Anolis sagrei: one gene and its partners. The protein of the gene in region 2 purifies or fractionates together with the protein of the main gene of each other region. This does not show direct contact. Links are inferred from orthologs where the notes say so. Each region holds a gene or a part of one and is shown on either strand. Other genes may lie near its edges. The genes, in order: CDK6, CDKN1B, SPDYA and CCNE2.

The links.
Region 1: the proteins of CDKN1B (region 2) and CDK6 purify together in Homo sapiens (affinity purification with western blotting; 8 studies listed by BioGRID and IntAct, counting the BioPlex papers as one, with this or other methods). This does not show direct contact. The link is inferred for Anolis sagrei from reciprocal best matches to the Homo sapiens genes CDKN1B and CDK6.
Region 3: the proteins of CDKN1B (region 2) and SPDYA purify together in Homo sapiens (affinity purification with western blotting; 3 studies listed by BioGRID). This does not show direct contact. The link is inferred for Anolis sagrei from reciprocal best matches to the Homo sapiens genes CDKN1B and SPDYA.
Region 4: the proteins of CDKN1B (region 2) and CCNE2 purify together in Homo sapiens (co-immunoprecipitation; 5 studies listed by BioGRID and IntAct, with this or other methods). This does not show direct contact. The link is inferred for Anolis sagrei from reciprocal best matches to the Homo sapiens genes CDKN1B and CCNE2.

What each region holds. Positions count from the first base shown.
Region 1 is NC_090026.1:102,370,933-102,378,396, forward strand, and holds the start of CDK6 (cyclin-dependent kinase 6), read left to right. Parts: upstream 1-4,450; 5' UTR 4,451-5,288; intron 5,289-7,464. UniProt on the Homo sapiens protein: Serine/threonine-protein kinase involved in the control of the cell cycle and differentiation; promotes G1/S transition. Phosphorylates pRB/RB1 and NPM1.
Region 2 is NC_090025.1:101,981,501-101,989,498, reverse strand, and holds the start of CDKN1B (cyclin-dependent kinase inhibitor 1B), read right to left. Parts: upstream 3,016-7,998; 5' UTR 2,774-3,015; coding exon 2,308-2,773; intron 1-2,307. UniProt on the Homo sapiens protein: Important regulator of cell cycle progression. Inhibits the kinase activity of CDK2 bound to cyclin A, but has little inhibitory activity on CDK2 bound to SPDYA. Involved in G1 arrest. Potent inhibitor of cyclin E- and cyclin A-CDK2 complexes.
Region 3 is NC_090021.1:42,727,917-42,735,325, reverse strand, and holds the start of SPDYA (speedy protein A), read left to right. Parts: upstream 1-4,393; 5' UTR 4,394-4,402; coding exon 4,403-4,625; intron 4,626-5,240; coding exon 5,241-5,299; intron 5,300-7,067; coding exon 7,068-7,153; intron 7,154-7,409. UniProt on the Homo sapiens protein: Regulates the G1/S phase transition of the cell cycle by binding and activating CDK1 and CDK2.
Region 4 is NC_090024.1:33,594,611-33,602,268, forward strand, and holds the start of CCNE2 (G1/S-specific cyclin-E2), read left to right. Parts: upstream 1-4,647; 5' UTR 4,648-4,725; intron 4,726-6,791; exon of another isoform or gene 6,792-6,870; intron 6,871-7,658. UniProt on the Homo sapiens protein: Essential for the control of the cell cycle at the late G1 and early S phase.

The DNA of each region.
Region 1 (7,464 bases), on a different chromosome or scaffold from region 2:
AATTTTTGACCAAAAACGGGCAACAGCGACTGCATTGTCTGTAGCTTTAAACAATTCTTCCTCTGCGAATGAGGCAGGGCATTGTGGGCAAGCATACAGATGCTGAGTTGTTTATTCTGCCCCACAGTCTAACAAGGTGGAGGATTGGTAGTGCCATTTTGCCAGGTTGTCTTTTGATCTGCCTACTCTGCTTCCAATTCTGTTGAAGGACTTCCAAGTACCCCATTCTTGGTTTGCCCAAATACCCTCATGGGGGGGGGGGGGTCATCCATTTGGGATTTCCTGGTTTAGCTGCCCAGAGGGGATATCTTATCAATCAATAAATAAATTGACATGTAAATTTATAGCAAAGATGGAATAGAGAATAAAAATATTCTGTTTTGACTAATCAATGGCCATCAATTTTAGCATCTATAACTAGTATGGCTATAGACCTCCAATAATGTTTTATACAGCAAAATTGGTCTTTTGTGCAGTTAGAATCTCTTTTCAAAAATCAGAAAACTATTTTAATTGTAATAATGCTTCCTTAATGCATATGTTTTGAAGTTGGCCAATAGTTGCTACATTTTGGGAGAACGTGATCATTAAAGTACATTTAGTTTTGAAAAGTTTTTTGATATTCATTGCTTTTATACTCTTTTTTATAATTTACCTATTCCTTTGAAAATAACAAATAGCCTGTGGAAATAGGTATTGTGTGTCCCTTTGACTGCTAAAAAATGAATATGTTGCTACTGGAAGGTTTTTTCCTTTTCCAATGTGATTTGATAGATAGCAGCTCTAAAAACACTTGCAAAATTTGAAATAATGTTGTACAGACAAAAATTACAATATAACTTATGTATGGACATTTGATCAGTTTTAAAGAAACTTGTGGCTAATGCGGCTAATTTTCCTCCTTATCTGTTTTTATTTTCCTGCTTTTGTTACATTGGAACATTATTGTATGTAAGTGAAATTCCTTTTTGAATATAAATAACATTTACTTTTAAAAAAATAGGATGGGTTAATATATACTAAATCCTCAAGGCATATGTTATCTTCATCCAAGGGAAGGTTGACTGACGTTAATGGAGTTAGAGGTATATTGCCACAGAGATGAAAGATGAAGCTATAGTCACAGGAATGCAGATGGAATGGTTTACATGTGGAAAACACACCTTCCTGTGCTCACAATGAACCTCTTTTTGTTTGGCAGGTTGGCCAAAAGATTCTTAACTGCTATTATTAAACAGGATTTAAGTCATGGGGACTTCCGAGAGCACTGCTGCCTGCCCTTTGCATTCTGATTTCACTTACAAGTACATTAGTAGAACAGTTTACAGTGGGGTCACTGTACATGTTTACATTTATGATTATTTACTAGCCGTCCCCTACCAGGCGTTGCTGTGGCCCAGTCTGGTGATCTGGAAAATAAAGTAATGAGAAAGTATTGGTTTCTAATATATATAATTTCTTTATGCTTGTGTGTAAACAGTATTTCTTGTCGTTTCTTTGTCAGTGTTGATGTAGAGATAGTCTGATTTGCCTACTTTGGAACATGCAAAATATAATTGTCCTTCTTTAGGGGTCCCTTTCAAATCTATGATACTATATCTGTCATATACATATGTGTGTGTGTGTGAATCATATATATCTATCTATATCTATGGCTGGATGGCTCTTTGTCAGGAGAGCTTTGGTTACGTTTTCTTGCCCTAGTGAAGGGTGTTGGATTGGCTGGCCTTAAGGCAGCATTTCTCAACCTGAGGGTCAAGTGGGGTTCAGAATGCTCTTTGATTGTAGGTGAACTATAAATCCCAGTAACGACAACTCCCAAATATCAAGGTCTATTTAACCCAAACTCCACCAATGTTCACATTTCGGCACATCGAGTCTTCATGCCAAGTTTGGTCCAGATCCATCATTGTTTGAGTCCACAATAAAACACAGAATGCAGAGAACAAAAAGTTACATCAAAAAATAGTTAAGTAGCAAAATAAAACAAATAAAGCAAATTAACACAATATAAAATCAAACAGGATGGGCAGGCCAAATGGACGAGATAAAATGATAAAACCCTGGGTGAGGTAGGAATAGAAAATATGTGAGGAGAGCAACAACAACAACAACACTTTATTTATATTCCGCTCTCTCATTCCAGAACTCAAGGTCAATGCCCACCAAACCCCTTTCTGTTGGTCATTGGAGTTCTGTGTGTCAAGTTTGGTTCAATTCCATCATTGCTGGACTTCAGAATGCTCTTTGATTGTAGGTGAACTGTAAATCCCAGCAACTACAACTCCCAAATGACAAAATCAATGCCCCCGCCCACCCCCACCAGTATTCAAATTTGAGCTTATCGGGTATTGGTGTCCAATTTGGTCCAGTGAATGAAAATACATCCTGCATATCTGATATTTACATGACGATTTACAAGAGTAGCAAAATTACAATTATGAAGTAGCAATGAAAATAATTTTATGGTTGGTGGTCACCTGAACATGAGGAACTGTATTAAGGGGTCGCAGCATTAGGAAGGTTGAGAACCACTTATCTAGACACAATGCTCCTATTGATGCAGGCCAAAATCCCATTGGATTTTTAAGCTGCCCCATGACTTTGTTGCCTCATGTTTAACTTGTTGTCCAGGAGGACTCTAAGATATTTTTCACACCTACTGCTGTTGAGCCAGATGTCCCCCATTCTGTATCTTTGCCTTTTTTTCTGCCGAATTGGTGGAGTATCTTGCATTGGTCCCTGTTTAGGTAAGGTAAAGGTTTTCCCCTGACACTAAGGCCTGTCATATCTGACTCTGGGGGTTGGTGCTCATTTCCATCTCTGAGCTGAAGAGCTGGCGTTGTCCGTAAGCACCTCCAAGGTCATGTGACCAGCATGACTGCATGGAGCATTGTTAACTTTCCACCGGAGTAGTACCTATTGATCTACCTACATGTGCATGTTTTCAAACTGCTAGGTTGGCAGAAGTTGAGGCTAACAGCTGGAGCTCACGCCACTCCCCGGATTCAATCCTGCGACCTGCAAGTTGAACAGCTCAGTGGTTTAACCCACTGTTCCACTGTGGCTCCTTGGTCCTGTTTATATTATAAATTACTGCTCCTTGGTCCGGTGGCACAGTGGGTTAAACTCCTGTGCCAGCAGGACTTAAGACCTACAGGTTGGAGGTTTGAATCTGGGAAGAGTGCGGATGAGATTCATCTATCACCTGGTAAAACATCCAAACATCCAGGGTGTCCCCTGGGCAATGTCCTTGCAGTCAGCCAATTCTCCTGTTGCTAGCTCTAGTCTCTGCCAACCTAGAAGTTCAAAAACATGCAAATGTGAGTAGATAAATAGTTACCGCTCCGGCAGGAAGATAACAGTACTCCATGCAGTCATGCCAGCCACATGACCTTGGAAGTGTCTATGGACAATGCTGGCTCTTTGGCTTAGAAATGGAGTTAAGCACCAACCCCCAGAGTTGAACACGATTGGACTTAATGTCAGGGGAAAACTTTTAGCTTTTACCTACTTTAAATTACTTTTGTTCTTTATATATACTGTATGTCCAAACATCCAAAAAAGAATAATAATAACAAGAAGAGTCCCTCTGGAAAAGGCCGGGGCCAATGGGCTCTCCAGGTGTTTTGGACTCCAACTCCCACCATTCCTCACAGCCTCAGGCCCCTTCCTTTCCCCCTCAGCCTTGTAGTTTCACAAGGTCTTCAGCCTTCTGTGCCAAAGCGTATTAGTTCCCCAACAAACTGCAGCAGCCAGGGTTGCATTGCAGAGAGTGCATCTACAGCAGGCATGGGCCAACTTGGGCCCTCCAGGTGTTTTGGACTCCAACTCCCACCATTCCCCACAGCCTCAGGCCCCTTCCTTTTCCCCCTCAGCCTTGTAGTTTTACAAGGGCTTCAGCTTTCTGTGCCAAAGAGTGTTGGCGCCTCACCAAACTGCAGCTCCCAGGGTTGCATTGCGTAGGGTGCATCTACACCAGCCATGGGCCAACTTGGACCCTCCAGGTGTTTGGGGCTCCAACTCCCACCATTCCTCACAGTCTGAATGGTGGGAGTTGGAGTCCCAAACACCTGGAGGGCCCAAGTTGGCCCGGGCCTGCTCTTGTGTAACAAATGTGGACTTTTGCACACCCTGGGAAACAAGCCCACGAGGCAGCAGCAGCAGTTTCAGAAGCTGTGCTCTCCTCCTTCCTCTTCCTCCTCCCAGCTTGGGGTCTCCCCTCTCCCTCCCCCATAATCACCCCCCCTATCGCCCCCCTCTCTCTCTCCTGCCTCCTTGCCGGCGGTATTTGGGGAGAGGGGAGGGGTGGTCTGCCCCCCCCCCCTTGCCTTTTTTTTTGGCCCATGAAGGATTTCATTGAGTGCGAAGACAGAGAGCAGAGACAGAAAGCAGAAGGAGGCGGCCGCTGCCTTTGTAGTCGGGGAGGAATGCGGAAATGTTGAAGCACTATGTCAAACTTTTTTGAAACGGGGTCAAGTCACATTCAGCCAGCGTGGGAAACCGAGGGGGAGAAGGGGAGAAAGGGAAGAGAGAGAGGAAAAGAGAGAGAGAGAGGGAGAGTGAGTGGAGGCGAGTTTGGAGAGGGGGGAGAGAAAAAGAAAAGAAAACTCTTCTGCTCCCAGACTGAGCCACAGAAAGAGAGAGAGAGAGAGAGGAACGGGAACTTTTTTCACAGGCAGGAAGAGTGTCCGTGGGTAGAGTTTGTGAAGGCTTTGATCAGAGTTATTACAACCCCCCCCCCCTTTTTTTTTTCTCTAAGGGAGGAGGAAGAGGAGGAGGAGGGAGGTTTGCGAGATCCTCTCCTTGCATGAAGAAGAGAAGGAGAAGGAGGAAGAAGGAGAAGGTGCCGTTTTGCTCTTCCCGAGTTTGCCAGGAAGATGCGGGTTGAGGAGGAGGAGGCGCTCCGGTGCTGGCGGCTACCTGTGTGGCCCAGGCCGGGTCTGCGGGGAGCCCCAAACCGGAGCAGCACCATGTGAACCTCCCTCCTCCTCCTCTTCCTCCTCCTCCTCCTCCTCCTCCTCCCCTTGACCCATCTGCGTTGGATGGGCAGCCAGATCTTAGGACTTCCCAGAGAGAGAGAGAGAGAGAGAGGAAGCAAGCTGTCCTTTCCTTCCTTCCATCCATCCTTCCTTCCTTCCTCCCACCCCCTGCTTATTCCTCTTTTAATTGTATAGGAGGGGGGGTCCCTTTTATTGCTCTCTCCAAAGACCCCCGTTTGGCTCTGAAGACCGAGGCACCCCTCCGAGAGGAGCTCCCGCACCAACACCAGCAGAAGCGCACGCCAGGTACTTCCTCGGCCCTGAAGTGCCATGTGCTCATCCAGATTGATAGACTCTTTGGTTTCAATGGGGAGGAGGGCTAGTGAGTGGCCGGGCTTGGCTCCGGGAGGGCTCTATGATCCCCCTTTACACCCACCCTCCCACTAACATTCCTCTCATGATCAAAAGGGGGTCTTCAATGGCGAAGGTTGAGTTTGAGGGGTTTTATTACTCCCTTTTGCGCCCAACCACCCCATTGCCCACCTTCCAGACCTCCCTCTGAGCCCCAGGATCATTGACTAAATAGAGGGTCTTAAATAGTGCGGGTTGGCTTTTGGGGGGCTCTATTTTCTCCCTGTACACCCACCCACCCCACTAACATTCCTCGCATGATGAAAAGGGGGTCTTAAACGGCGAGGGTTGAGTTTGGGGAGCTTTATCCCCCCCCCTTTGCACCCAACCACCCCATTGCCCACCTTTCAGACCTTTCTCTGAACCTCAGGATCTAAGGAGGGTTTTAAATAGTGCAGGCAGACTTTTGGAGGGGCTTTATTATCCCCCTGTACACCCACCCATTCCACTAGCTTCCTCTCATGATCGAAGAGGGGTTTTAAATGGTGAGGGTTGGATTGGGGGGGGGGGTTATTACCCCCCTTTGCATCCAACCACCCCTTTGCCCACCTTTCAGACCTTCCTCAAAGTCTCAGGATCATTGACTAAAGAGAGGAGGGTTTTTAATAGTGGGGGTTGGCTTTTGGGGGGGGGGCTCTATTATCTCTTAACAGTCTTCTCATTACCAAAAGGGGGTCTTAAATGGTGAGGGTTGAGCTTGGAGGGCTTTATTACTGCCTTTTGCACCCAACCACCCCATTGCCCACCTTCCAGACCTCCTTCTGAGCCTCAGGATCATTGACTAAATAGAGGAGAGTCTGAAATAGTGTGGGTTGGCTTTTGGGGGGCTCTGTACACCCACCCACCCCACTAACATTCCTCCCCCCTTACACCCACTCATCCTGCTAACATTCCTCTCCAGATCAAAGGGGGGGGGGGTCTTAAATGGCAAGGGTTGAGTTTGGGAAGCTATATTACCCCCCCCCCCCCCTTTGCATCCAACCACCCCATTGCCTACCTTTCAGACCTTCCTCAAAGTTTCAGGATCATTGACTAAATAGAGGAGGGTTTTTAATAGGGGGGAGGCTTTTGGGGAGCTCTATTATCATGAACACTCCTCTCATTATCAAAAGGGGGGCTTAAATGGCGAAGGTTGAGCTTGGGGGGCTTGATTACCGCCTTTTACATCCAACCACCTCATTGACCACCTTCCAGACCTTCCTCTGAACCTCAGGATCATTGACTCAATAGAGGAGGGTCTGAAATAGTGTGGGTTGGCTTTTGGGGGGCTCTGTTATCCCCCTGTACACCCACCCACCCCACGAGCCTTCCTCTCATGATCAAAAGGGGGTCTTAAGGAGGTCTTTACAACCACTGACCCCACTAGCCTTCTCATGATCAAAAGGAGGTCTTAAATGGCTTTATCGCCCCCTTTTACATCCAACCAACCCTCCTCTATTTAGTCAATAGCCCTGATGCTCAGAGGAAGGTCTGGAAGGGGGCTTTATCACCCCCCCCCCTTTACATCCAAGTACCCATTGCCCACCTCCGAGATCTTCCTCTGAGACTCAGGATCATTGACTAAATAGAGGAGCGTCTTAAATAGTGCAGGTTGGCTTTCAAAGTGCTTTATTATCCCCCTTTGGATCCACCACCCCACTAACATTCTTCTCATGATCAAAAGGGGTCTTAAATGGTGAGGGTTGAGTTTGGGGAGCTTTATTACCCCCTTTTACATCCAAACACCCCATTGCTCACCTTTCAGACCTTCCTCTGAGCCTCAGGATCATTGACTAAATAGAGGAGGGTTTTAAATAGTGCAGGTTGGCTTTTGGGGGGGCTCTATTATTTGCCTTTATACCCTCCCACCCCACTAGCCTTCTTCTCATGGACAAAAGGGGGTCTCAAATGATTAGGGTTGAGTTTGGGAGGCTTTATTACCCCCTTTTACATCCAACACCCCACTGCCTATCTTCCAGATCTTCCTCTGAGCCTTGGGATGATTGACTAAATAGAGGAGGGGTGGTTGGATGCAAAAGTGGGTATTAAAGCCCCCCAAATTTGACCCTCGCCATTTAAGACCCTGTTTTGA
Region 2 (7,998 bases):
CAACAAGTTAAATATGATCCAACAATGTGATGCGGCGGCAAAAAAAAGCCAATGGGATTTTGGTCTGCATCAATAGGAGTATAGTGTCTAGGTCCAGGGAGGTCATGATACCCAGCACTAGACCCAGAGTCTGCTTTGCAATCCAACTATGTTAAGCCAATCAATAAGATCTTGGCACTATAAGACTTCTACCAACATGGATAGAGAGACCTCACCATCACAAGAAAAAACACCTGCCTCCCAAAAGACCTCATACCACAGTTTATACCCCTCATGAAGAGCTGGGTTGCATTCCTGTCCTTAAACAGTATTCAGAGGACTCCTTAATTGTGAGGATCTGGGAACCTCTGGGAGGGCATAAAGAATAGGGGTGGATATTATGGGGAGGCGGGTGTGGGTGGGGGATGGTAACTAGACCTCTATAGGTCCTATAATAATTTTATTCGGTCGGCACCTTAATCACTCTGACTTGGACACCACCTCAGCCCTGTTGACTTGTAAATGCCTTTTTACTTTTAATGTTTTGAGTGGTTGCTATCATTAGATCTAGTAGTAAACATGTTCTAAATGTTTGATTTATATATTTAAATGTCTAAGTTTGTTATTTTTGAGTTGTTCTATAAGTACACCTGATGTTATTTATTTTATTGTTTATGATTTGATTTGTTTGTTATGTTATGCCGGCATTGAATGTTTGCCAATTTTCTGTTGTAAACCACCCTGAGTCCCCTCGGGGAGATAGGGTGGTACAGAAATAAAGTTTATTATTATTATTACCCCTTTATTCTGCCTTGGTTAGAACACACCTGGAATATTGTGTCCAATTCTGGGCACCACAACTGAAGAGAGATATTGACAAGCTGGAATGTGTCCAGACAGGCCTGTAGCCAGGATTTTGATTGGGGGGGGGGGGCTGAGTTTGGTTCACGGGGGCTGAGTCTGGGTGGGGGCTGAGTCTGAGGGGGGCTGAGTCTGGGGGGGGGGGCTGAGTCTGGGGGGGGCTGAGTCTGGGGGAGGCTGAGTCTGAGGGGGGCTGAGTCTGAGGGGGGCTGAGTCTGGGGGAGGCTGAGTCTGGGGGAGGCTGAGTCTGGGGGGGCTGAGTCTGGGGGGGGGCTGAGTCTGAGGGGGGCTGAGTCTGGGTGGGGGCTGAGTCTGAGGGGGGCTGAGTCTGGGGGAGGCTGAGTCTGTGGGAGGCTGAGTCTGGGGGAGGCTGAGTCTGGGGGAGGCTGAGTCTGAGGGGGGCTGAGTCTGGGGGGGCTGAGTCTGGGGGGGCAGAGTCTGGGGGGCTGAGTCTGAGGGGGGCTGAGTCTGGGGGGGCTGAGTCTGAGGGGGGCTGAGTCTGGGGGGGCTGAGTCTGAGGGGGGCTGAGTCTGAGGGGGGCTGAGTCTGAGGGGGGGCAGAGTCTGGGGGGGTCTACCCTGGCAAACCTTCTCTATCGTTACCCCAATACCCTCATGCATATGGGATATATTGAGCATGGTGATCAGATCATGATATGAATAAACATAACAGCTTAAAGAATGTACTAGTAAGGCCTTTTCGCAGACCACCATGAGAATTTGGGGGGGGGGGGGCTTCAGCCCCCCAAGCCTCCCCTGGCTACATACCTGTGTCCAGAGGAGGGTGACTAAAATGATCAAGGGTCTGGGGAACAAGCCCTATAAGGAGCAGCTTAAAGAGCTGGGCATGTTTAGCCTGAAGAAAAGGCTGAGAGGAGACATGACAGCCATGTATAAATACGTGAGAGGAAGCCACAGGGAGGAGGGAGCAAGCTTATTTTCTGCTGCCCTGGAGACTAGGACACAGAACAATGGCTTCAAACTACAAGAAAGGAGATTCCACCTGAACATTAGTCAGAACTTCCTGACTGTAAGAGCTGTTCAGCAGTGGAACTCTCTGCCCCAGTGTGTGGTGGAGGCTCAATCTTTGGAAGCTTTTAATCAGAGGCTGGATGGCCATCTCTCGGGGGTGCTTTGAATGCAATTTTCTTGCTTTTTGACAGGGGGTTGGACTGAGGTCTCTTCCAAGTCTAGGATTCTAGGATCAGATCCTCTCAAGATGCCAGCCACAGATGCTCCTAGAACACCGCCCTCCAGCCCGGAAAACACAAACACACACACACACACACCAGTGATTCTGGCCGTGAAAGCTTTCGACAACCCAAGTGGGATCCAAAGAGCAGAGACCTGCTTCCTCTGCTACCTGCCAGTTGTTGTTTGAAGGAGAAGGAAGGGCTTTGGTAACCCTGGAGCAGAAAAGGCCCGGATGTGCTCGGGGAGCAGGAGAGAATGGAGGCTGGGCGCTTACCGTCCGAGACGGGCCGCTTCCTCGAACTGGGCGGGCCTTGGCCCTCCTCCGCTCGTGCTGCCTCGGGGACCCCGTCCTCCTCCTCCTCCTCTTCTTCCTCCTCCTCCTGGTTGTGCGCAGAGAGTCCCTTGCAGTGGTGCCTGCGGGGCGGGCTGGCTGCGGGGCGTCGGGCGAGCCGCGGCGGTCGGCTGTAGAAGTCGGGCAGGGCGTCCTTGCGCAGGGCGCGCCACTCGAAGCGCGGCTCGGGCCCTCGGAGGGGCTGCTCGCGGAGGAAGTCAAACTCCCACCGGGCTTGGGCGGCCTCCTCGGCCTGGCGGCGGTGCCGTCGCAGCTCGCGGGCCAGCTCGGCGTGGTCCACGGGGCCGAAGAGGCTCCGGCAGGCCGAGGGCTTGGGCGCCCCCTCCGCCTGCCGCGCCTCCATCCGCTCCAGCGTCGGGCTCCCGCTCGAGACGCGCACCGTCGACATCGCCGCGGAGCCGGGGCGCTCCCTGCGCCGCGCCGCGCATAAGCCGAGCCTCCCCCCGCCCCGGGCAGAAGAAGGAAGACCAACGCGGGGAAGCCCAAAGGCTCCTGCCCCGCCGCGCCCGATGTCAACGCTCCTCCGAAGGAGAAAAACAAGGCGGGGAAGCCGCGAGGGGCGGGCGCAGGACGAGCCTCTTTCCCCCCCAGTGGCCCAATATGGCGATGGAAGGGAGGCTGGCCCGGGAGGCGATGATTGACACAAGGGCCCTCGCTTTAAAGGGAGGCGCCGCCCCATTGGTGCAAACACAGGCGTGACGTCACCCGACCTGGCCTCCCTCTCCCCCTCCCAGTCTGTTTGTGCCCAATCGTGTTTGTCAAGCTATGAACCCACAACAGCACAACCGAGTGCAGCTCTCTAGTCAGGTTTTTGCAGGGGAAAAAGCAACAATGTATTGTCGAAGGCTTTCAAGGCTGGAATCACTAGGTTCTTGTAGTTTTTTTCGGGCTATAGAGCCATGTTCTAGAGGCATTTCTCCTGACGTTTCGCCTGCATCTATGGCAAGCATCCTCAGAGGTAGTGAGGTCTGTTGGAAATAGGAAAATGGGTTTATATATCTGTGGAATGACCAGGGTGGGGCAAAGAGCTCTCTGCTGAAGCTAGGTGTTCAAGGGAACCACTGACCCCATAGGGAAGCTGATGAGGAAACATAACATACAAACAATCTACAAACCCACCAAGAAAATCCAACAAATGCTTCGTTCAGCAAAGGACAAGAGGGATCCTCTCACTTCTGCAGGAGTCTACCGGATACCATGCAGCTGTGGACAAGTCTACATAGGGACCACCAAACGCAGCGCCCAGACACGCATCAAGGAACATGAAAGGCTCTGCAGACTACTTCAACCAGAGAAGTCAGCCATAGCAGAGCACCTGATGAACCAGCCTGGACACAGCATATTATTTGAGAACATAGAAATGCTGGATCACTCCAACAACCATCATGTCAGACTACACAGAGAAGCCATTGAAATCCACAAGCATGTGGACAATTTCAACAGAAAGGAGGAGACCATGAAAATGAACAAAATCTGGCTACCAGTATTAAAAAAACTCTAAAATTACAACAGCAAAACAACAGAGAGGAAACAACCAGGCACATCTTAACACCTCTCAACAGAACATTTTCCCAGGCTCAGCCAGGCCTTCAAATGCTAATGAAGGTGGTCAGCTGAAACATTCACACCTAGCTTCAGCAGAGAGCTCTTTGCCCCACCCCAGTCGTTCCACAGATATATAAACCCCTTTTCCTAGTTCCAACAGACCTCACTACCTCTGAGGATGCTTGCCATAGATGCAGGCGAAACGTCAGGAGAAATGCCTCTAGAACATGGCCCTATAGCCTGAAAAAATCTACAAGAAAAGCAACAACCCTTCTGTTCCATTCAGCCAAACAATGAGGAGACAATGTGTTGTCCATTCAAGCATTCGTCGCCGGAATCACTGTGAATCTTTCGGGTTGTATGGTCATGTTCCAACAGCAGCATTATCTTCTGACCTTTCGCCTGCATCTATGGCAGGAATCATAGAATCCTAGAGTTAGAAGAGATCTCATGGGCCATCCAGTCCAACCCCCTGGCAAGAAGCAGGAAAATTGCGTTCAAAGCACCCACACACACACACACAGATAGCCACCCAGCCTCTGTTTAAAAGCTTCCAAAGAAGGAGCCTCCACCACACTCTGGGGCAGAGAGTTCCACTGCTGAACAGCTCTCACAGGAAGTTCTTCCTCATGTTCATATGGAATCGCCTTTCTTGTAGTGTGAAAGCATTCAGGCATGTAGCCGGGGGGGGGGGGCTCGGGGGGCTTCAGCCCCCCCCCCCCAAATTTTAATGGTGGTTCGCGAAAAGGCCTTATTGGTGCATTATTTAAACTGTTATGTTTATTCATATCATGATCTGATCACCATACTCAATATATCCCATATGCATGGGGGTATTGGGGTAATGATACAAAAGGTTTGCTAGGGTAGACCCTCTTTCACTCAGACTCAACCCCCCCCCCCCAAAACTCAGCCCCCCCCCCCCCCCGAAACGAAATCCTAGCTACGGGCCTGAAGGCATTTATTTATTTACTTACTTACTTACTTGTTCATTCGTTCAGTTGTCTCCGACTCTTCGTGACCTCATGAACCAGCCCACGCCAGAGCTCCCTGTCGGCAGTCACCACCCCCAGCTCCTTCAAGGTCAGTCCAGTCACTTCAAGGATGCCATCCATCCATCTTGCCCTTGGTCGGCCCCTCTTCCTTTTGCCTTCCATTTTCCCCGGCATAATTGTCTTCTCTAGGCTTTGCTGTCTCCTCATGATGTGGCCAAAGTACTTCAGCTTTGTCTCTAGTATCCTTCCCTCCAATGAGCAGCCGGGCTTTATTTCCTGGAGGATGGACTGGTTGGATCTTCTCGCAGTCCAAGGCACTCTCAGTGCTGGAGTCATCAGTCACCTGCAGAATTCTGGGAAATGTAGTGGGCCTTTGGAATTCTCAGATACAGAAGTGCCTTCTCAAACTACATTTCCCAGAACTCTGCATGCGGCAGAAGATGCCAGAAATGTGGGGCTGCCTGCTTTAAGCACTTGTCTGATAAAGCCCTTAGTCGGAACACTTTCTGAAGGGAAGATATGCCACATTGGCAGCATCCACATTTTAAAGAAACCCACGCAGACTTTAAAAATCAGCTCAGCCTTCTTTTCTAAGCACTCACGAGCTGTTCACCAATCAGTTCTTGAAACTTTTCTATTACTACCCTATGTAACACTAATTTTGTTCCTGGGTTATAAATGTAGTTTCCTAATTGGTTCCAGCATAATTCAAGTTCAAGTTGTGGCAGGTTGTGGCACAGCTGGTCAGGAGTCAGCTGCATTAAAATCACTACTGACCATGAGTCATGAGTTCGAAGCCAGCCTGGGTCGGAGTGAGCTTCTGGCCATTTGCCTAGCTTGCTGTCGACCTTTGCAGCCCAAAAGACAGTTGTATCTGTCAAGTAGGAAATGTAGGCGAGGCTAATTTAACTAATTTATGAAGCCATAAAACTCTCCAGCAGCGTGCAAAGAATGAGGAAGTACTCCATCGGTGTCACAAGTGGATGGTGAAGCAACAGCTCCCCCAGTGGCCAGAATTAAAAAAGCATACCCTCATGAAGCTGGAAAGTTAAATAGCCTCTGTGTCTCTATATATGTGTGTCTATGGCATTGAATGTTTGCCATGTATGTGTGCATTGTGATCCACCCTGAGTCCCCTGCAGGGTGAGAAGGGCAGAATATAAATGCTGTAAATAAATAAATAATATTAAATAAGTTCACTTTATTGGTCAATGACCAGCTCATTGGTTCTTAGCCTATAAACATGGAAAAAGACAGCCTGCAGCACCCTTTGCTGTAGTTTTCCCTTTAATATCTCAAGTCTCAACCAATTCAACATAGTTTGTGGCAGCCACAAAAATGAAGTTTCTTGAATATAGCAACTACTTTCAAAGTAAGTGCCACACAATTAAACAGGAAATAATACTTTCAAACCAGGAAAAGATTTGAAGCAGTGTCTCTGCGTAGGTAACACAAAGCATCTTTCTTAGAATCATAGTCCAAAGCATCTCTCTGTTCTGAGAGTCTAATAGAGTCTCTGTAGTCTATTTCAACTAACTTCTAAAAGCATAGATCTGTTTCCACTGAAGTCTAAACTGAACTGTTTCTAAAATGGAGTCTGAGTCCTGAAGAAGCCCAGACCTGATCACATGGTCTACAGTCCCATCCACAACAAAGTATCAAAAGAAAACTGCAAACCAATACACACATTTACAATACAGTAAGCAATTATATACATAACAAACAACTAGTGGAGCCTTGAGAAGGTTGTGAAATCCAACAGTTCTGAATCTGCGTGGTCTTTCACAGTGAGGACATACATTTCCAGATAGAAGGTGGTCCCGACAAGGGTTTGCTTGACATGACTTCTTTTTCTTTCCCCAATGTTGTTTAACATCTACATGAAGCCGCTGGGGGAGATCATTCGGAGTTTCGGAATGAGGTGTTGTCTCTATGCAGATGATGTCCAAATCTGTCACTCCTTCTCACCTGTCACCAAGGCAGCTGTCCAAACCTTGAACCAGTGCTTGGCAGCTGTGTCGGACTGGATGAGAGCTAACAAATTGAAACTGAATCCAGACAAGACAGAGGTCCTACTGGTCAGTCGTAAGGCCGAACAGGGCATAGGGTTACAGCCTGTGTTAGACGGGGTTACACTTCCCCTGAAGACGCAGGTTCGCAGCTTGGGAGTGATCCTGGACTCATCGCTGAGCCTAGAACCCCAGGTCTCCGCAGTGGCCGGGAGAGCTTTTGCACAATTAAAACTTGTGCGCCAGTTGCGCCCGTACCTTGCGAAGTCTGATCTGGCCACAGTGGTCCACGCTCTCATTACATCCTAAATAGATTACTGCAACGCACTCTACGTGGGGTTGCCTTGGAAGACCGTTCGGAAACTTCAATTAGTCCAGCGAACGGCAACTAGATTACTCACCGGAGCATCATACAGAGAGCATACAACCCCTCTGTTGTCAGCTCCACTGGCTGCCGATCCAGTTCTGAGCACAATTCAAAGTGCTGGTTTTGACCTACAAAACCCTGGGTTCTGGCCCAGCGTATCTGTTCGAATGCATCTCCTTCTACGTCCCACCTCGGAGTTTAAGATCTTCTGGGAAGGCCCTGCTCTCGGCCCCACCTCTATCACAAGTGAGATTGGTGGGGATGAGGAGCAGGGCCTTCTCGGTGGTGGCCCCTCACCTGTGGAACTCACTCCCCGGGGAAATTAGGTCATCGACATCCCTCCTCTCCTTTAAAAGGAAATTAAAAACATGGATTTGGGACCAGGCCTTCGGGTAATCTGGTGGATAGATAAGGCACAAGCAATGACTAGAATTGATGAATTGGACAATGTGGAATTTGAATTTACGGACTCTGAGCTGATAAACGTTAAGCACTAGATTGTTTTTAGGAATTGTGATGTATAATGGATTGTTTTAATTGTTTTAATTACTGTTTATATGTTTTATTTTTTACCTTGTTGTTGTGCCGGCATCGAATTGTGCCTTTTTGTAAGCCGCCCTGAGTCCCTCCTCAGGGGTTGAGAAGGGCGGGGTAGAAGTGCGAGAAATAAATAAATAAATAAATTCGCCTATTTCTC
Region 3 (7,409 bases), on a different chromosome or scaffold from region 2:
GGCTGGCTGGCTCTTTGTCAGGAGGGCTTTGATTATATTTTTTTACCCTGGTGAAGGGAGTTGGACTGGAGTATTTTCTGTTGGTCATGGGGGTTCCGTGTAGGAATTGTGGCCCAATTCTGTCATCGGTGGGGTTCAGAATGCTCTTTGATTGTAGGTGAACTATAAATCCCAGCAACTACAACTCCCAAACGTCAAGATCTATTTCTCCCAAACTCCATCTGTGTTCATATTTGGGCATATGAAACATCCGTGCTAAGTTTGGTCCAGATTCATCATTGTTTGAGTCCACTGTGCTCTCTGGATGTAGGTAAACTACAACTCCCAAACTCAAGATCAATGCCCACCAATCCCTTCGAGTCTTTTCTGTTGGTCATGGGAGTCCTGTGTGCCATGTTTGGTTCAATTCCATCATTGGTAGAGTTCGGAATGCTCTTTGATTGTAGGTGAACTATAAATCCCAGCAACTACAACTCCCAAACGTCAAGATCTATTTCTCCCAAACTCCATCTGTGTTCATATTTGGGCATATGAAACATCCGTGCCAAGTTTGGTCCAGATTCATCATTGTTTGAGTCCACTGTGCTCTCTGGATGTAGGTAAACTACAACTCCCAAACTCAAGATCAATGCCCACCAAACCCTTCTGGCATTTTCTGTTGGTCATGGGAGTCCTGTGTGCCATGTTTGGTTCAATTCCATCACTGGTACAGTTCGGAATGCTCTTTGATTGTAGGTGAACTATAAATCCCAGCAACTACAACTCCCAAATGTCAAGGTCTATTTCTCCCAAACTCCATCTATGTTCATATTTGGAATAGTTGTGCCAAATTTGGTCCAGAAATCATTGTTTGAATCCACTGTGCTCTCTGGATGTAGGTGAACTACAACTCCCCAACTCAAGATCAATGCCCACCAAACCCTTCTGGCGTTTTCTGTTGGTCATGGGAGTCCTGTGTGCCATGTTTGGTTCAATTCAATCACTGGTAGAGTTCAGAATGCTCTTGGATTGTAGGTGAACTATAAATCCCAGCAACTACAACTCCCAAATGACAAAATCAAATTGTTTTGAGTGATGGTCATTCCTTGAGTTAGTAGGTGTCTTGTGGCCAAATTTGGCAGCAATTCATCCAGTGGTTTTTGAGTTATGTCAATCCCACAAACGAACATTACATTTTTTATTTATATAGAAGCCATAGGAATGGTTCTGTGTGCCTTCTGGGTGTTAACTATGCTATTTTTGGAAGAAGTTACTAATTTAGATCTTCAAAAAATGTAACTTTCTGAGTTCTTCAGCTGCTTTCCTCACAAAGTGAGCATAAAGCCAAAGGCCACAAGTCAGTTAGCAACAACGCTCCCTCTTCTCTGATTGGTTGAGAGGCTTCCTTTGGCCCACTACAGTGTCAAGGCCTTCTTCCAGAGAAAGAGACTGAAGAGGCGCTTGAATTTTGATTGGCTGGGACTTGTCAAGAGAGCATCCTGATTGGCCGTAAAATAATGGTAGGTTTGCTTTTTGCCTTAGATGAGGTTGCCAGGAGGAGAGAACATGCCCAGTTGAGGTTTCTGATTGGTGGATCAGAAATCTCCATCTTGTTTGCCATTAGGGTTCATAGGCGTGAGGTAAATATTGACACTGAGCATTCCTGGCAGACAAAAAAGTGTTAATTTTGGCTCACTGACTTTCTTGATGGGAGCGGACCACACAGAGACTTTTCGAGGCGAATTAATTACGAGAATGGCACTATTAAGTTGATCATTCCTTATCCACAATTCCGAAATCGGAAATGGATGAATGGCTTAGAGATAGGGACAACCTTGCTTTCTGATAGTTCAGTGTACACAAACTTGGCTTCCTATACAGCACTATTTAAATAGCAACAACAATAATAATTTATTATCCTCCTTCTTGCAGCTTGTGTATAAAACAAGCATGGGGAAATTTGGCCCCTCTGGGTGTTTTGGACTTCAACTCCCATCATTCCTAACAGCCTCAGGCCCTTTCCTTTTCCCCCTCAGCTTAAGCAGCTGAGGGGGAAAAGGAAGGGGCCTGAGGCTGTTAGGAATGATGGGAGTTGAAGTCCAAAACACCCAGAGGGGCCAAGTTTTCCCATCCATGCCTGGTGCAGACTCATATACTCCATCCAGTTTTGATCTCAAATGTTTCTAGGTTATTCTGGATTATTTTTTTCTTTAGTATTTTACTTTCCAGGTAAGAATAATGGCATTTGCTGGAGATGGCATTGATTGCCGATTGCAAACCGCCTCAAGTCGCCTTCAGGCTGTGAGAGGTGGTATATAAATATGGTTAATAAATAACTAAAGAGAATATAAACATTAAGTGAAAGGAAATATCCACCCGACCCGATCCCCAGAAGGATGCAATCAATTGTAAGAGTGTTACAATTTTATGGTGTGAAAAAGATCTGTGTCCTGGAAGAGGTAAAATAGCAATAATGAAAGTCAAATCTTGGGTTGTTGTAGGTTTTCCAGGCTATATGGCCATGTTCTAGAGGCATTTTCTCCTGACGTTTCGCCTGCATCTATGGCAAGCATTCTCAGAGGTAGGCAAGCATCCTCTGAGGATGCTTGCCATAGACACAGGCGAAATGTCAGGAGAAAATGCTTCTAGAACATGGCCATATAGCTCGGAAAACCCACAACAACCCTGTGATTCCAGCCATGAAAACCTTCGACAATACAAAGTCAAATCTTGCTTTTAATTTATTCTATGATGCAAAATGGTGTTATAAATTGATATGGAAGAGGAACAAATTAAAGGTGGTATAACAAAATTGGCTCAGAATTTACGCTGGATCATACCGATGAAACAATGGGGCAAGGTGGTCAAATGGGCTAACATTTATGTTATGATGTCAAAGACAGTTTTTATAAAATGATGCACCAACAGTCTATGATTCCAGAAAAAAAAGACTAGAATGTGTAAACATATTTCAAAAGTATGGCAGAAGTATGAACAAGCTGGGAGATGTTATCACATGTGGTGGACAAGTGAAAAAGCTACAAAGTTTTGGATTCAAATGCTTAATGCAGTACAGAAGATCTTGAAGGTTTATATTAAGTTAAAGTAATGACCTTGCTCCTATTTATTTATTTATTTATTTATTTACAGTATTTATATTCCGCCCTTCTCACCCTACAGGGGACTTACAGTGTACACATATATGGCAAACATTCAATGCCAATTTTGACATACAACATATACAGACAATACACAGAGGCTATTTAACTTTTTCTGGCCGCCAGGGAAGCTGTCGCTTTTCATCATCCATCCGCGACACTGATGAAGTACTTCCGCATTCCCCGCATGCTTTTTTGCTGGAGTGCTTTGCTGGAGTCTTTTTTTATGGCATCATAAATTAGTTAATTTAGTCTCCCCACACTTTAAGATGGTACCTAATTTTCCTACTTGACAGATGCAACTGTCTTTTGGGTTGCAAAGGTCGACAACAGCCTACACAATGGGTTGGAAACCCACTCCAACCCGGGCTGGTTCAAACTCATGACCTTTTCGTCAGAGTGATCTTAATGCAGCTGACACTCAGCCAGCTGCGCCACAATCCCGGTGCTTAATGCAATACAGAAGATCTTGAAGGTTTATATTAAGTTAAAGTAATGACCTTGCTGCTACTGCTGCTCAAGTTGTTGCTAGAATAAGGTGGCAAATGCACTGACAGTATTGACAGTGATGGAGCAGAACATTTCAGAGGGCTCTGTGAAGGACAGCGAAAGGACAAGATTCAGATAAGAAGTGACAATATGCACAAGCAACCAAACAAAAGATTTGGTTTTATTGATGGAAAGAGAAAAGGCACTTTAAAGAGTCTTTGTGATACAGTTGCTTCCTGATTTTTACAGTGAAGATCAGAAGAAACTAGTGGTGTGATTTCTGGAAGCTGAGATGGTATGGATTTAGGCAGCACAGTTTTGATGATAATAGTAGCAGCAGGAAGACACAATAGACTGTAACAATGATCTTGAGATTCTACAAGTAATTCACAGAAAAAAAATGTTGCCCACTCCTGCCCAGTCTCTTTTTTAGAGATAAAAAGTGGGGTACTACTGCTACTACACTACTACTAATAGGTATGTAAGTTTATTTTTGGATGCCAACAGATTATGAAAATGAATGCCTACAAAAATAAACCTTTCTGAATCAGAAGCATTGAAGTTGCAAACATTGTGTTAAAGTCAGCTATGTCATATTGTCAGACACAATATGAAAATTGTTCAGTATATAAAAGTATATAAAAAGGTATATAAAAGTATCACTAATGGATGGGGATATATAGTTACATCTCCTTAAGATGGAATTGTGCCTTTTTCACCCTCCATTTGGCTAACCTATTTTTTTTTTGCCTTAATAGACAACATCATTTAGAAAAATGAAACATAACCAGAGCTGCTGCCAGACACCTTCCACTATCACTGTGCATGCAAAATCAAGTGCAGCCCGAACCTACAAGCAAAAAAACCCCCTTTGCCTTAAACGTCCTAAATTTAAAGACAGCCAAGAGACCTGTGGGAAAAACATTAATAATAACAAGCCAAAAGGTTCCTGTCTAGTTATTCAGCGCCAAGAAATGACAGCTTTCTTTAAATTATTTGGTAGGTTTTTAGAATGCATTTCATAAAAGTATAGGTATATATGTATCTGCATTATATCACTGTTGCATTTCAATAGCACTTCTCAACACTGAAAGTGGTATTTTGAAAGATCGACAAGACTAACCTAAGATTATTCTGTCAGCTAAAGTGCATGCATTGAAGCTTTAATATCTACATTCATTCCAAGTTTGTGTTCATTACAGCATATTGGTTTTTATGAGGTACTGACATAAAATCCAGTATTCATGGGATATAACTTCTTTCTGTTTGTTAACCTGGTTAGAATATTCCTTCTAGCAAAATGTTTTGTAAGTTACTTCTGAGTTCATGGAAAATGTTGTTTTGATTTGCCTGGAAGTGAAGCAATGGAAAGGAAAATAAATAACCCATGAATAGATATTTCCACTTGGCCATTTTTCTTTCCTTTATACCTAATCTTCTTCAGCTATTATGAAGCAATTCTTTTTTTCCAGACAGATATGCTACTTTCTCTGCACCAAACCAGTTGTCATTTTAAATGCAATTTGATTTCTTTTAGAGATATTTTTAAAACTCATGTTTCCTGAGATTTATCAGAGATTATAGTTGGTATGTCATAGTTGCTTTATTTTACAGATGATGATTTAATTCAAGATTTCTTGTGGATGGATTGTTGTTGTAAAATTGCAGACAAGGTAAAGCTGGTTGTTATCATGAAATTCTTTCCAACTGTAAGGTGGGAGAAAATAAAGATTTTCTGTTTTTATTACAGGCCTAGTTGTGGAGGTTGTTTCCAAAAGGTACGAAATCCTCCCAGATTTGAAAAATGAGTTTATAGGTGGAACCACATGGTTGTTTAGGAGTAGAATATTACACAGAGATAAAAACTATCAAAATAGATCAAATTGTTTTGGTACAGGGCTTGAAAAATTGCATTTTATAGCAAAAGAATGCGTATCCGCAGCATGTTTTTTTTATAATTCCTGTAAAATTTGTTCAGATGGATTTAGTACTTTTTGGATACAAACTTCACAGCTGTGTGTGTGCATATGTGAGTTCCTCATCACACACATGCTATAGCGTGATTTTCAACTGGAATGGGCAAAGTTCAGGCTTATGGGATCTGAACTTTGCAAACATGAAACAGCATCCTGGTGTAAAAAAAAAACCCTATTAAACATACTTGTATATAAAGCAACTTCATATATAAGGCAAGAGTAGGTTCTGAGGTCCAAATTATGGATTTTGCTATTATTTGTGGGTAAGGGAAGTCATTCCATAGAGGTGAGAAAACACCAGGGTCAGCTTAGGGTTCTGCCACCACCACCATTTCCCTACCCAGACATTCAAAAAGGCCTTTTGCCATTCTAGGAGACGGTGAAAACCATTTTGAAAAAAGTTAAAGTATAGTATTACCTCTTTATATATATATATAAAAGGAACCACCCCCTTCTTTGAGAACAGTGGTGAAATGCAACAGCTTAGTCCTCCCTGGGAGAACCTAAAAGGAGCATTGTCCCCTCTCTCCACTTTCTCAGTAGTCTTTTTTGGGGGGAAGTGTCCAAAGAACTGCCATTGCCATTTTCCTGCCCAGGCATTCAAAAAACATGACAAGGCTCATGTACTTTAACAGCTAGCTCTGGAAGTTTTTTGGTGCCATGAAATACTGTAGGGGAAGATGAAGAAAACCCTGGTTATGCTGACATTGGATTTAAAAGAACATGGTTGGATTTTGGTCCAAACTAGTTTTGCCTCTTTAGGTATAGAATTTGTCCTAAATTAGCTGATTATTATTATTATTATTATTATTATTATTATTATTATTATTATCTTCTCCATTTCTATGTCATCTTTCTTCCAGAGTGAGACCCAATGTGGTTTCCAAAACAATTAAAAAGATTAACAATCAAAATGTTAAGACGGTTTTAGTTGTAGAAATTAAAATATTGTTATTCCATTTGGTTTTCAATGGATTTCAGTTTGTATAGCTTCTATGTTTCTGATGTTATAGAGTTGAGGGAGGGGTGGCTCCCTTTTTGTGTATTTACATTTCTTTTTAACATTTTAGCTTGGGCCCTTGTTATGGTTCAAAGAGTTTACAAATCTTCCTGCCAAGCAATGACCTGTTACACCTTACTGCAAATAAGCCATTCAAATCTCTAGATATTTTATTTTAACAGTTTAATGACAAGAGACCATGTCAACATACTACATAATTATGGGCCTGCAGATGTTTTTAGGTTTCACCCATATGTTGGCTGTGCCTAATACATGCTGTAAGTCAAAAGCATCTGAAGAGCCATAGTTGCCACCTTTAAGGTCTGATTATCTATACCAAATTAAATTAATATAAATTAGTTATGTGCTTTTTGTGTTAATGTCACCAATTGATTAAGAGGTGTTTTGTTATCCTAAAAAAAGTAATTGAAAATGGGGGCATAAATATTTTATCTTTCTCAACAGTACCTATTGGCAATGACTTTTGTTTATTTCAAGAGAGCCGGCTACAGTATAAATGAACATACCAGGCTCAATTTCTTTGTGGCTCTGTAAGTACTCTGATTACAACATAAGTGACAAAGTTTTATTCCTTGAGAGAGGCAGTTAAAAACATCTCTGATGCATTGAAGAAATTATTAGTACAGGATCTTTTTTTCAGGTTTACAGATTATAATGTCCTAAATCTGATTGTTAGCTAAAATTAGACAGAACATGATTCTTTAAGTCTACTTTGTCCAGAACTAATGTCACATGCTATGTGTTGAATTTAAGCCAAAGTTTTGATCCAAGTTGTAGGTTTTTCCG
Region 4 (7,658 bases), on a different chromosome or scaffold from region 2:
CCTTGCGACTAACCAGGAGTACCTCTGTCTTGTCTGGATTCAATTTCAATTTGTTCGCCCCCATCCAGACCGTCACAGCGGCCAAGCACCGGTTCAGGACCTCGACAGCCTCCTTAGTAGCAGGTGGGAAGGAGTGACAGAGTTGGACATCATCTGCGTACAGATGACATCGGACTCCGAAACTCCGGATGATCTCGCCCAGCGGCTTCATGTAGATGTTAAACAACATGGGAGACAGTATTGAATCCTGAGGAACCCCACAAGACAAAGGTTGTGGGATTGAACAGGAGTCTCCCAGTAACACCTTCTGAGACCGACCCTCGAGGAATGAGCGGAGCCACTGCAGAACAGTACCTCCAAGACCCATCCCCGCGAGGCGTCCCAGAAGGATACCGTGGTCAACGGTATCGAAGGCCGCTGAGAGGTCGAGCAGCACCAACAGGGACACACTCCCCCTGTCGAGCTCCCGACGCAGATCATCCACTAAGGCGACCAAGGCTGTCTCGGTACCATGCCCCGGCCTAAAGCCAGACTGTGCCGGATCCAGATAATCCGTGTCTACCAAGAATGCCTGGAGTTGTGAGGCCACCACACGTTCCATGACTTTGCCCAAAAAGGGGAGATTGGAAACAGGCCGATAGTTGACGAATTGAGTGGGGTCCAGTGATGGTTTCTTCAACAGCGGTTTTATCACAGCTTGCTTTAAGCTGGCTGGAATTTTGCCCTCCTGAAGGGAGGCATTAACCACCACCTTCACCCACTCGGCCAATCCCCCTCTGGCCTCCTTCAGAAGCCAGGATGGGCAGGGGTCTAGGATGCATGTGATAGCTCTCATTCCTCCAAGCACCTTGTCCACATCCCCGGATTGAACCAATTGAAATGAATCCATCAAAACCGGACAAGCAGATGCTCGTGTTACATCCTCAGATACTGCCGTTAATATGGTATCCAGTCCAGAGCGGATCAAAGCGACTTTGTCTGCGAAGAACCGAGCAAAGGCTTCACAGCGAGCTGCCGAGTCATCAGGGCACCCATCCTGAGTGGCGGGTTTTAATAGGCCTCTGACAACTCGGAACAGTTCGGCCGGACGGTTCTTTGCAGACGCAATAGTGGCCGCGAAGAAAGTCTTCTTTGCGGCTTTTATTGCCGCGGCATATGCCCTTAAAAAGGACACAAACCGTGTTCGATTTGGCTCGCTCGGATCCGAACGCCACACGCTCTCTAGTTCCCTCTTCTTTCACTTCAACGCTGCCAGCTCCTCGGTGAACCAAGGAGCTGGTTTAGCTCGGCTACTTGAGAGGGGACGTTCTGGAGCGATCGTGTCTATTGCCCTAGTCATCTCCCCATTCCTGAGAGCGACCAGAGCATCAACAGGATCACCAACCGAGGTGGCGGGAAATTCCCCAAGAGCCGTCAGGAATCCATCCGGATCCATAAGCCTCCTGGGGCGGACCAGTTTAATGGGTCCTCCACCTCTGTGGAGGTTGGGGGGTGCAGTGAGTCTAAAACTGACCAGGTGGTGGTCGGTCCATGGCAACGGAGAGATGGATAACTCCTCAACACCGCCACCTTCCTCCCATCCCTGGCAGAAAACCAAGTCCAATGTATGTCCAGCACTGTGGGTGGGGCCAGATACCTGTTGGGACAGCCCCATGGTTGCCATGGTAGACATGAAGTCCTGAGCCGCTCCCGATAAGGCAGCCTCGGCATGGACATTGAAGTCCCCCAGCACAAGCAGCCGTTGGGACTCCAATGCCAGGTCCGAGACCACCCCCGCTAGCTCAGGCAGGGAGACTGTAGTTCAGCGAGGTGGACGGTACACTAACAGAATCCCTAATCTGTCCCGGTCACCCACCCTCAGGTGGACGCATTCAAAATTTGTTGACTGCGGGATGGGAGCCCTGGTCAGAAGAATGGAATCTCTATAGACCACTGCAACTCCGCCTCCCCGCCCTCCGGATCTCGGTTGGTGCTGCACAGAGAAACCTGGCGGGCAAAGCTGGGTTAAATTTACACCTCCCGCTTCGTCAAACCAGGTCTCTGTGATGCACGCCAGATCTGCCCGTTCATCCAGGATTAAATCCTGGATGAAAGTTGTTTTACCGTTGACAGATCTGCGTTCAACAGCACCACTTTCAATTCGGAGGGACCGCCATCCTGGTTACACCGACTTACCATATCAGGAGACCGATTTGGGATTACTAATGTTGTTCCACATTCCCTAGGCCGAATTAAAGGTCTCCCTTTCCCGTATCTCCCCCTCCCCACCACGACTTCTATGGGGGCTCCCTGGTTAACGGAACCCTCTCCCTCCTCCATGACGCATTCAGCAGCCAAAGTATCCACTCGTAATTCATTGTTGGCTGTATGGTATGTTATAGTTCCAGGATGCCATAGTCCTGCCTTCCGTTCATTTCCTATTCCTATTATGTTAAACTCCGGTCTTTCTGATCTACTCCGTTCCCTCTCTCTACCAAAAACAATTAACAGCAAGAATAACAGATGCCAGGGAATGGGTAGTAACATGGATAGTAGCTATTAACACTGTCAAAGGAGTTCTTAAAGTGCAGGAGTTCTTAAAGTGCAGATAGATAATTGTATCAACATACACGATGGTATAAGTAATTAAAGTGCAGTAGCTTAGTCGATTGGCTCTAAAGTGCTCGAATGGAGTGCGTCATGGAGGACTTAAATTCAGTGCAAGATGTTATATTGTATTACATTATAATATTATATGTATATACAATATTTTATATTATACTAGCCGTCCCCTGCCACGCGTTGCTGTGGCCCAGTCTGGTGATCTGGAAAATAATGAGAAAGTATTCATTTTTAATATATGTAATTTCTTTCTGCTTGTGGGTAAACAGTATTTCTTGCTGTTTCTTTATCAGTGTTGATGTGGAGACTGTCTGGTTTGCTTGCTCTGGAACATGCAACGTATAATTGTCCTTCTTTAGGGGTCCCTTTCTATCTATGATACTGTATCTCTCTCTGAGTGTGAATCATATCTATCTATATCTATGTCTGGATGGCTCTTTGTCAGGAGTGCTTTGATTACGTTTTCTTGCCCTGGTGAAGGGAGTTGGACTGGATGGCCTTAAGCATGGGTGTTCTGCATGGGAAGTTTGCCCCAGTTCTTTTGTTGGTGGAGTTCAGCATGCTCTTTGGTTGTAGGTGAACTATAAATCCTAGTAACTACAACTCCCAAATGTCAAGGTCTATTTCCCCCAAACTCCATCTGTGTTCCTATTTGGGCATATGGAATATTCATGCCAAGTTTGGTGCAGATCCATCATTGTTTGAGTCCACAGTGCTCTCTGGATGGAGGTGAACTACAACTCCAGAACCAAAGGACACTGCCCACCAAACCCTTCTGGTGTTTTCTGTTGGTCATGGGAGTCCTGTGTGCCAAGTTTGGTTCAATTCCATCGCGGGGGGAGTTCAGAATGCTCTTTGATTGCAGGTGAACTATAAATACCAGCAACTACAACTTCCAAATGACAAAATCATAATGTTTTGTGATGGTCATTCCTTGTGTTGTGAGACGATTTCTTGCCAAATTTGGTGTGATTTCGTTAATTGGTTCTTTTGTTTTTAAGGTACTCATTATGCACAGAGCATTTATATATATATATATTATTAATATAATATAATATAATATAATATAATATAATATAATATAATATAATATAATATAATATAATATAATATAATATTATTATATTATATTATATTATATTATATTATATTATATTAATTATTAGTAAAGCACAGGAGACAAGATGGAACTGTCTTCTGCCCCCCTCTGTCTTAACTCTGGTCTAAACCCTTCTGAGTGAAACCAGTTGCCTTTCCTTCCTGCTTCTCTCTCTCTCTCTGCTGTCAGCCTTCAAGCGCCCTCTTGTTTACATTCTGCCGACAGCTCCACGTTGCCGAGCCTTTCCGCTTCCTCATTGGCTAGAGCGCGGGTAGAGGCTCCGCCCAGGGGCGGGGCTTGGAGCCCAGCTGTCTAAAAGCGGGTTGTTGAGGGGGAAATAAGCTTAGGAAAGAGAAACAATTAGTGTTTGACAATATGGGGGGCAGAAAGCGGGCCCACGTTTGAGAGGGGCTGATTGTGAGCGAGTCAGGACAACAAATGTATTCCAAAGGGGACACATTTCTTCCCCAAAGGGAGGCATAAAGCATTATGGCGGGAGTTTCACAATGACACGTTTCCTTAGACCTGGAAGCACTTTTTTCATGAGTCGGAGAGTCCTTTAGGATGATTGCTCATGAACCCCAAAGTTATATTGGTTTCTTAGTCCCCCAAGGGCCATGCAGTCTAAATCCATTCTGAACACAGCGAGGCACCATCAAACCCTTCCCGACAGTTGGCCATCCAGCCTGTGCTTTAAAAAAATCTTATTTTCAGTCTATGCCTGGAATTTGATACGACTCGAAACCGAAGCGTTGGGATTTCCATTTAAATATGAGTTGTGGCACAAGAAGGAAGGCTGTCCCTTTTTGTGGGTCAGGATTGGCCAGGCGGAGTGACCACCGCCCCTCTGAACCTTCCCGCCTGAGGCTGAGGCGCATTTGGCGCGGAAGAAGGGGCTGGGCGGCCTCCTCTTCCTCCTCCTCCTCCTCTTCCCCTTGGCGGCTCCAGCGTGAGGCGGGGCTCTGGGCGGAGGCCTTCCCAGGACATGGAAGGAGGCTCCTCCACAGACACTGAAGTCCACTCAGGTACATTGGGGTGCACAGAGATAACATGGAATACATTGGAGTGTATTGGGGCGCATTGGAGTACACTGGGGAGCATTGGAGTGTATTGGGGTGCATTGGAATACATTGGGGTGCACTGAAGTACATTGAAGTTCACTGAGATACATTGGGGGTGTATTGGGGCTACACTGAAGTACATTGGGGTGCCCTGAGGTATTTTGGGGTGCATTGAAATACCCTGGGGCTCATTGGAGTGCCCTGAGATACATTGGAATGCACTCAAGTACTTTGGGGAGCATTGGGGGTGCATTGGAGTACACTGGGGTGCACTAAAGTACATTGGAGTGTATCGGGGCGCATCGGGATACACTGAAGTACATTGCAAGCATTAGAGTCTATTAGGGTGCCCTGAAGTATATTGGGGCTCATTGAAATACACTGAAGTGCCCTGAAGTACACTGGAATGCACTTAAGCCCTTTGGGAAGCATTGGGGTCCATTGGGGTACACTTAAGTACACTGGGATGCACTAAAGTACACTTTAGTACATTGGAGTGTATTGGGGCACATTTGCGTGCACTGAAGTACATTACGAGCATTGGGGTGCATTAGAGTGTTATTAAAGTTCATTGAGATACATTGGGGTGCACTGAGTTACATTGAAGTACACTGGAGTGTGTTGGGGCACACTGGCGTACACTGAAGCACATTGGAGCACACTGGAATACATTTGGGAGCACTGAAGGACACTGAAGTACATTGGGGTACATTGAGGCCCATTGAGCTACATTGGGGTGTACTGAAGTACATGTGAGTGTGTTGGGGTGCATTGGAGTACATTGGGGTGCAATGAAGTATATTTGAGTACACCGAAGTTAATTGAGGTACACTGAAGTACATTGGAGCATACTGGAATACATTGGGGAGCACTGACAGTCACTGAAGTACATTGGGGTGCATTGGAGTGCATTGGGGCTCATTAAAGTACATTGGGGTGCATTAGGCTGTATTGGGACTCATTAAAGTGCATTGAGATGCATTGGAGTTTATTGGGGCTCATTAGAGTACATTGGGCTGCATTGGGGCTCATTAAAATGCATTGGGGTGCCTTGGGGCTCATTAAAGTACATTGGGGTGCATTGGGGCTCATTAAAGTACATTGGGATGCATTGGAGTGCATTGGGGCTCATTAAAGTACATTGGGGTGCATTGGGGCTTATTAAAATGCATTGGGGTGCCTTGGGGCTCATTAAAGTACATTGGGGTGCATTGGGGCGCATTGGGGCTATTAAAGTACATTGGGGTGCATTGGGCTGTATAGGGGCTCATTAAAGTATATTGGGATGCCTTGGAGTGTATTGGGGTGCATTGGGGCTCATTAAAGTACATTGGGGTTCATTAAAGTACATTGGGGTTCATTAAAGTACATTGGGGTGCATTGGGGCTCATTAAAATACATTGGGATGCATTGAGGCTCATTAAAGTACATTGGGGTGCATTGAAACACAGTGGAGTGCATGGGGGCATCTTGGAATACACTGGGGAGCACTGAAGTACATTGGGGCGCATTGAGGTACATTGAAATGAATTGAGGGTCATGAAAGGGAAAGGATCCCCCCTCTTTCCCTCAGGTTTCCCCCCATCAAAATCCCAGAGACTCATTATTTGCAAAGGGGTTTGTGTCCCCTTCCTCACAATTCCTCTCTGCCTGGCTCTTGGGGTGTATTGAGGTAAATGTTTGGAAGGGAAGGGGAGGCCTTGAAACCCCCTTTTCCCCTTAGGCTTCCCTCCAAAACCACCAAATCCCCCCACTTCCCCCTCAAAAACTGGATTTAAAAGTCATTCAAAGGGGTTTCTTTCCCCCCAGACTCCTCTTTATTCCTAAAAGTGACAGCGGAGAGGAGAACGAGGAGTGTATTGGGGGGAGAAAGGCAGATTGCGGTGCGTTTGTGATGATTTGTCCCTTATTGTTGTGATGTGGAGCCGTTTTGGGGTCCCGCGGTCTCTCTCTGGGCGGGAGAAATCCGCAGCCCGGGAACTGACGGGAGGGATGAGCCTGCGCATGCGCACTTTCCGCGCTATATAGCCTCTTGGCGCCGGCGCCAGCTGAGGACAGTCCTGAGTTGGGCGGCAAGCGGCGGAGGAGGAGGAGGAAGAGGCTGAGGTGCGGGCTTTGGGGGCGCCCTTTGGGGGGCCATTTGGGGAGCGTGTCAAGAGCAGAGTGGGAGGAGGGCGGCTCCACAGAGGAGACCTAGACCTGCCTTTGCAGTCTCTCCCCATTATGGGGTTGGGGCAGTAGGGGTACCCCTTAATTCCTTCTTTTGGGGTGGGTGTCTCTATTTAGGGGTGTCCTGCAAAGTGGGGGTGAAGGTGTTGAGTTGGAGGGTTTTTTCTTCTCTTCGGAGGAAGGAGGAAGGAGGGAGGGAAGAAGGCGGGCTGCCCGCCTTCCACTTTGCCGGCTTTTTTCGTTTTGGAGGGAGAATGAATTGAATGGGGGGAAAGAAGGGGAAATAATGGGGTCCCCCAACCCATCCGCCTTTGGGGGGCTCAATGGGGGGAAATAGAAGGGATTCTAGGCGGGAAAAAGGGGTGTCTTCCCCAAAAGTTGAAGCAATTAGTCTCCCCCATGATAAGCACACTTTTGGGGCTCTTTTTTGGAGCATGAATTGATTTAAGGGGGGCAGGAGATCCCTCTATATCTGTGAGAGAATTGGGGGGTCTTAAGACCCTAATTGGGGGTGACTTCTTAGAGAATGAACTTATTCTTCTTCCCCTCAAAAATCATATATAATAATAATAATAATAATAATAATAATAATAATAATAATAAACAATAATATAGCTGCACAGATGGGTAGATTTTGGGGTCCCCTATAAAAAGGACTTTATGAGGTGGCGTAGAAATATAGTGCAAAAATTGGATGGAGTTTGGGGTCCCTATAAGAAGGACTTTAT